Caenorhabditis elegans: one gene and its partner. The protein of the gene in region 2 interacts with the protein of the main gene of each other region in a pairwise test. Each region holds a gene or a part of one and is shown on either strand. Other genes may lie near its edges.

What was found.
Region 1: the proteins of C49C3.7 (region 2) and mpk-1 interact in a two-hybrid assay, tested with the Caenorhabditis elegans proteins (3 studies listed by BioGRID).

What each region holds. Positions count from the first base shown.
Region 1 is NC_003281.10:4,226,356-4,230,283, forward strand, and holds the start of mpk-1 (Mitogen-activated protein kinase mpk-1), read right to left. Parts: upstream 1,740-3,928; coding exon 1,536-1,739; intron 1-1,535. Other genes in the region: F43C1.5 (uncharacterized protein), read left to right, coding at 2,842-2,910, 2,956-3,072, 3,193-3,332, 3,384-3,460, 3,534-3,755. UniProt on the Caenorhabditis elegans protein: Functions in let-60 Ras signaling pathway; acts downstream of lin-45 raf kinase, but before the lin-1 gene product in controlling vulval cell differentiation. Plays a negative role in proximal germline proliferation in the mitotic zone.
Region 2 is NC_003282.8:17,330,514-17,334,306, forward strand, and holds C49C3.7 (Coiled-coil domain-containing protein 176), read left to right. Parts: upstream 1-2,047; 5' UTR 2,048-2,065; coding exon 2,066-2,190; intron 2,191-2,237; coding exon 2,238-2,946; 3' UTR 2,947-2,947; intron 2,948-2,996; 3' UTR 2,997-3,133; downstream 3,134-3,793. Other genes in the region: ceh-88 (Homeobox domain-containing protein), read left to right, coding at 23-184; C49C3.6 (uncharacterized protein), read left to right, coding at 1,018-1,130, 1,178-1,727; C49C3.15 (DUF4515 domain-containing protein), read left to right, coding at 3,724-3,793.

The DNA of each region.
Region 1 (3,928 bases), on a different chromosome or scaffold from region 2:
TAGTTTCTGAAAACTACTACTGAACACTTTAACTCCGGAAAAATTCAATTTCGATACTGTGAAACTACAATGAATCAATCTACATTCATTTTGAGAAACATAAATAATACACAAAGTACCTCACACCTCTGTCAGTCATTCACCCGGGTACACAACGGGATTTCAAAATAATAGTTTGTTGATGGAAAGCGGGTAGAAGATAGATCAACATCAATTATTAGTGTAAATCCTCGGGGTTCCCAAAGGAATACGTGTCAAAGTACAGTAAACTGTAGCTCAAGTCCGGAAAAAAGGAAAAATCTGGGTCATCTAGGCCAAACGCACGAAGAAAACTTCCGGAAGATGGATTCTTGTATTTGAACACTCCTTTTCGATTTTTCCTTGTTCGTTTAAAAGTTCTGATTTTCGGTTTGAAAAAAAAACATTGTTTTTCTCTCCAATCTCCGCTTGCACGCTGGAATGTCAATCAGACGACCAATTCAATTAATTCTATTAGATTTTAGATGTCTTAACTGGAAACTTTAGAAGAATGCAAATATATTCAATTTGGGGGACACTCAGATTACGGTAATTTGTAGTGGAACCTCGAAAATACAACTATTACCCAGTAGCGAAATTTTAGGATTTTTACGCCAAAAAATACGGTACCCAGTTTCGATTTTTTAAATAGTTTTTCTCATAATTAAAAAAAAACCTTTTTTTTAATTTGAGGTTAAAAAAAATTTTATCGAAAAATTTTGATGAAAATTACACAGCAAAGTTTAAAATTACAGTACTCTTTAAAGGCGCACACTTATTTGCATTTACCAAAAAATGTGTCGTTTCGAGACCGGGTATCGCATTTTGGGATACATACGAAATGTTCAAGTTGTGAACAGTTTTTTTCTACTAGCAGAAATTCAAATTTCGTTGAAAAACTACGATTCTAAGAGGTGTTCCGGTATAAACTAAATACGTCAATGAAGTGTCAATCTGCAAAAATCATCAAACCTTCAAGCTTAAAACACAAAGCACAATTTCTGGTTTAAAATTTGAATTTTTTCATTCAAATCAACCATTTTCATTGAGCTATTCAAACTTTCACACTTCCGTTTCTCTCTTTTCCAATTCAAAAACTACCAATCAACGTCACATCACTAATCTTTTCTTCCAGCACACACACACAGTACTCTGTCACGGTAGTCTTAATAGGCTAATAAAAGTACAAAGTTAGTGGTTTTGATGCAATACGCAACTTATTTTCCCGATAATGGGAGCACAATGGGCAAATCAACCCGATTACGTGCTATGTTCTGATTATTTGAACATTGTGCACTTTTTTGAAAACGTTTTGTGAATTTTGCAATTAAATTGAATGACTTAATTTTTTAATGTATTTTTACTTTCTAATTTAAATTCAATGTAGAAATTCAATGCAAAAATTTCAAATTTTCCAACTGACCAAAGAGCATTTTAATATTTTTCAGCTTCTAAAAATGCTTGTTTTTGTTTATTTTTCTCCAACTTTTTTTTTCATATTTTCTTATCATTCGTACCTTTCTATGTCCTGAACGAGTGTACTGCCATTTCTGTTGTCTGACGTGGTTGGTTGCTCCATTCGGTATGTTGCTCGAATTACGGTATGCCAATGATCCCGGAGCAGATTGTTGTTGTGTCGCTTGTGGATGCCCGTTCGATGGTGGTTTAGCATTTCTCGTTGTCGGCTGTGCGCACAAATTGTTAGGTATCCACGTTGGCATCATGTTTCGTGGTTCTGAAATTAAAGAATTATTAGTTTTATGAAGAAGAAGTTCTGGCAACGGATAAAAATATTTGAGAGTGTGAAATATTTCGTCGGAAAAGAAATTTCTGATATTGCAAAGGAACTTTTTTTGAAAATTCCCTCAATTTACCAAATTTAACTGTTAAAAAAAACTATAGATTTCTTTTTCTGAATTTTTAATGATTTTTTTCAATTTTGCAAAAATAAAAGAAACGGCTCCATGATTTTTTTTTTGATTTTTTTGTGAAGAAAACTTGACGACCTGAAATAAAATTTCGGAAACTTTAAAATCAGTTCAAAATTCGATTATTTAACTATTATTTCATTTTTTGTTTAAAAATGTATGAAAAGTGAAATTATAAAAATCCATGAATTTTGCCAGAAAGTGCAAAAATTCAAATTCCCTTCCGCCGATTTTGTATTTATATTTCAGCGAAATTGAATAAATCATTGAAAAATTAAACACTGTTTTTTTTTACAGATATATTCGGGACATAAGGCAAATTTTCGTATTTTCTAGCTCAATGGATACACTAAATAAAGGAAAAAAAATCGTATAGAACTTTTCCCGCAGTAAAAGTAAAACTGGCCAACTATGTAAAAACAGAAAATGCAGAAAATCTATTCGAAAGTTGTTTTTATGAATAAAAAGTCTATGAGTTTCTCCTCGTCAATTAATTAGCTTCGTCAGAAAATGCATAATATTGTTCCTGTTTTGAAGCCATTTATCTTTTGTATGGTTTCCCAAATCACTATGTTGAAGTAAAAAAGAGCAAAAATCATTTATGATGTCAGAGAAAGCTTTTTTCCGAACTTTAGAGACTCTAACTTGCAGTTTTTCAAAAAAAAAACTCCGAGTTTACTAGCAATTTCACTCCAAATTCTGCCTATTTTCCCTGTATTTTTTCATAACTCTCTCACCGCAGACCGATAATACAATCACCATTGTACACACACAACACTGTCTCATTCTTTTTGACCGCCCACCCAAAATGTTTAATATTTGTACGAGCGTTCTTCTTCATAATGCTGACTCATTTCATTTTCAACACTATTTTTCAGCTTTTTCTAACGAAATAATGACGGATTATGATGACTATGAAGACCGATCTGGTGTGGTAGAAGAAGAACTATTGGATTTTGATAGAGTACGTCTAGAATCAAATTTGGCAACAAATTTTCAAAATATTCAGGCAATGCTGGACTTTCAAGCTATGTTTCCCAGTCTAAGCAATTCACATATTGAATATGTTCTACGGAAATATGATGGAGATGTTTCAGCCACTATTAATGAGCTACTTTATGATAACGTATGTTAATTTTTTTGTTTATAGAAATTATTGCTTTACTACACGAGAAAGCACTGTCAGCGAGAATATTGTATCTCAATTGTTCAAATTTCGATCGATAAATTCCAAAAATAATTTCAGACGCCAACTACAACGACTTCTGAATCTATTCCACATGGAGGAGACTTAACAAAATTAAGGCAGCGAAGGCATGAAATAAACGAAAAACTGAGAGAAAATCAAAAATTTTTGGATACGGTTACAGATGTGGAAATTGCGAGGTAGAAAATAAAATTATTTATACACTGAAAATCGTGAGAAATAAATTTCAGAGCATATGAAGACCAACAACTGGCCTTATTACTTGAACACCGAGAAGTGAACACCCTTATCAGTGAGGAGAAAAAGAGTGAGCTTTTATTTTTGGGAAAATATGGGAAAAACAGGAGAAAATAAACACGTGGCGTCACAATTTCTTTCAGAAAAGTCATGTTCTGACTCATCTTCTATTCAAGAATCGCGCCGGCATGTGAAAATTCCCGGGAAAAATTCGAAAAATTCTAAAATTAGTGTGAACAAAGCGAAAAAATTGGAACCGAGACGACGATCGGACGAAGATCGTGTTCCAGATGGACCATACATCGGGGAGGGAGAAGTAAAATCGGAGAATTTCGCGGCGAAAATAAAGGAAACGTTGAGAAAAGGTGGGGTGGCCATGATTTATAGGGTCGCGAGACTATGTTTAGTTGATATTTCGATAAAACATCTGTGAAACCATTAAAAATCACAAATTTCCCGCAAAAAATCAAAGAGAAATAACGATTTTTGCAGAAAAAAACAAAGAAAATTAAAAAAAAATTTTTTTGAAAAATGAAAA
Region 2 (3,793 bases):
TGAACAATTTTATTGTTTAAAGATTCGTGATTGGTTCTCGAAGCGAAAAGGAAGAGACAAGCGGTTCTTGGAGAATATGGAGAATACTCGTGAAGTTTCTCCGCAAAATACGCAGCAAAATATTCAAGATATTTTGATTAAAATTGTGACTCAAAGTGGGACGCTTTGTTCAACGGACTGTTAATAATTCGAAATGCTTTTCTTTTAATAAAGTAGTTCTTTGTAGTTTCTAGTGTTTTCTGATAATTTGGACAGAGATGAATCTATAATTAGGTTGTTCATGTAGTTTCGTGATATGAGCTCTTAGAATTTAAAAAAATATTGAGATTACTGTAGCATCTCTTCGCAAAAAAACATAAAACTAATCTATGAATGTCTTCGGACAAATTTTTGGTTTCCCTGCACAGTTCAGAATTTGAAATTACATAAACTTCACAGGGCACCAGTATTTAACAACCACTATGATCGAGATCGTGGCGAGACCTATTCAGGAAATCAGCGTGTACCTTTAAACTGACGTGTGAAATTTTTGCAAAATTATGATATTTAAAAAGGAAATTATCCAAAGCAATCCAATAAATATATTCCTATGGAAATACTGCGAATATTTATCATAGTATTTTTTGGATTCTCTTTCTGCATATCCAAACAAAACATTCTGTGAACAATTTTAGTTTGAATACAAAAATATGATGGATCCATTTTAATCCTATAAAGTGCATATTTCAAGGCTTTTTATGTTTCTGACAAGCCTGAAAGTTTCTACAGAAAATGAAATTTAGAAGAGGAAAGTGCGCTCCAGCGTCATGCACCAGAGATGAGAGACGCGGGACAACGAGACGGATTTTGTTTGTTCGGTTTCTTTTTACGAGACTGATTGTACTTTTTTCTCTTGATTGTCTCACTTTTGTTAAATTATATCAGTTAATGGATATCAATGTGCGTGCGATGTTTTACTTTTGATTTTTGCGAAATTTTATAAATTTCCCTCACAAAATATTGGTTCTTTTCAGAAAAATGCCACTGTCCAAGAGACGAGCGGCAGGTAGAATCAATGGACTGAAAGGCCCACCCGCAAAAAAAAGAAAGGAAATTGAACGACATGAAGCTCTTCTCATGCATCCGTTAGCGTTAGTTTTATTTAGATATTTTTGCGAAAAATTGAACGAATTTACAGGTATACTGCAGAACAGTACGAACAAGTTGCAGAGGAGTCGAAGTTCTACAAAAATTGCTTCGAAACTACTGCCGCCGAGAACGTTGAACTTCTAAAATCCAACGATCAACTCAAAAAAGAGCTGGAATTGTTGAAAAACCAACAAGGAAATCAGTTGAAGGTCGATATGAAGTTCAAATCCCAAATCGAGAGCACCAGGCAATCAAATATGACGTTGCTTCGTGAAAGAGAAATTTGGCAAAATCGGTATTATGATGTTCTCGCTGAGAAGCTTGCGCTAAGTGCACGAGTGAAAAGTATGATGGGCGACATAGTAGAATCCGTAGAAGTGCCTAATGATTCAAATGGTAACACGTGGGAACTGCGAGAAGATTTGGAAATTGATAGAAGTGCTCGTAGAAAAACGGAAGAAGAACCGAAAGCTCAAAAAATGAATTCAACTCGTGGATCTCTGCCGAGAAATCAATGCTCCACACGCTCGAACAACCAAACACCCAATGAGATGCTCCTGAAAATGGCGATAGGATTGGATACGACGTCGGTTAATTAAGGTAATTTTGTATTTTACAAGAACGATTGAAAATTTTTATTGTTTTTTTTTCAGAATTCCTCAATCGACACTCAACACATTCCATCTCAACTTTATGAATCTCAGCACTCAAAAATCTGCTTCGTTTAATTTCTGTTTTGAGCGTTTTTGAAACGTTACTGCATTTATTTTATTAGAATAAACCAATAAATAGACAAAGTATTTTCGAAAAGCTTTTTTTTTTTTTGTAATTGTTGACATTTTCAAAATAATATTATTTAATCCAAATATCTCAACGATTATTAATTTTTTTAAATTCCTGTTAAGACTTTCCATCATAGTTTTTTTTTTCCAGAAGCATGCCACCCCCTAATAAAAGACAAAAACATGCAAGAATCTGTGGATTTATGGGTACACTTGCTAGAAAAAAGAAAGAAATCGAACAACAGGAAGCTCTGATGAAACTGCACAATCTTCCATTGACGTTAGTTTTACACGGAAGCAATTCAGAACAATATAAATTATTTACAGATACACTGAAGACCAGTACAAGATCGTTAAAGAGGAGTCGACGATCTACAAAAACCGATTTGAAACAGCTGCTGCTAAAAATGTCGAGCTTTTAAAAGCCACTGATGAACTCAAAAAAGAGCTGGAATTTTTAAAGAGACAACCAGGAAACCAGTTTAAAGTTGATAAAAAGTTGAAATCCGAAATTGACAGCGCTGAAGAGGAGTCGAAGTTCTACAAAAATTGTTTCGAGACTACTGCTGCTGAAAATGTTGAACTTTTAAAAGTCACCGACCAACTCAAGAAGGAGCTGGAATTCTTGAAAGCACAACAAGGAAATCAGTTTAAAGTTGATATGAAGATCAAATCCGAAATGGAGAGCGCTACACAATCTAATTTGATTCTGCTACGAGAAAAAGAAATGTGGAAAGATCGATTTAATGATGTGCTCTCTGAAAAGCTTGCTCTAAGTGCACGAATTAGAAATGTGATCGGCGACAGATCGGAATCCGTGGAAGTACCCAACGATTCAAATAGAGACATTTGGGAATTGCGAGAAGATTTGGAAATGGAGAGAAGTGCACGTAGAAAGGCTGAAGAAGAGCTGAAAATTCTAAAAATGACTTCAAGTCGTGGATCTATGCATATCAGCCGAGACTCCACCAACCAAACACCCAATGAAATTCTTCTGAGCATGGCGATCAGATTAGATTCGACGTCCAGTAATTAAGGTAACTTTGTAGTTTCACCTTGAGCATTTAAAATTGACATTTTTTCAAGGTTCCCTCCAACTCAGGCCAAGCCGTGTCATCTTCATGAATCTCATCACACAATCAATCATGTGTTTCGTTGCATTTATGTTTTGAACGTTTTTAGAACGTTTCTGTTGTTGAAATAAAATAAAATATTAATTATCGACTCTGAACAGTTGGCAAAAGCGCCCCAATGATCTATGAGGCCACATGATATAGAGTGAAGAGACGCAGCTATTGAAGAGAGTGTGTGTGCACGTTCGATAATTTTCTGTCAGTTTCTCCGTCTTTTGGAATGTGTTTTTTAGTAGCTTAAATTTCAAATTATGGTAAATTTACAAGATCTTGTCACACCTTCTTAAAGGCGCATGGATTTATTCAGATGGGTCTCGACGCGCAAAATGTTTATGGTAGACTTTTTTTGGATTTTTACGGCTGCTTCCGACTTGAAAACAGAAAAATGAAAAGGAAACGATAAAATTCGCTAAAAACTTATTAATTGAATTGAATTGAATTGAATGCATGAAAAATAAACGAAACAGTACTTAGTCAAAGTAAAAAAATTATACAATAAACTTTTTTCGCGCCAAGACCCATGATATGTTACCATAGTCAAACATAGCAAATAAGTTGAGTTCACGTCTATGTTGGTACCATCGGGATCACCGTGGCTTACGCCAAAACTAATGCTTCTTGTGTTTTTTATCACCACACAACTATTCGGTCACAATTATGAATTTGTTTTCTTCAGAAGAATGCCAAGACGGTCTGTTGCCATGCGTAAACGCATTGAAAACCTCCACAAGAATAAAGCTGCTAAAAATG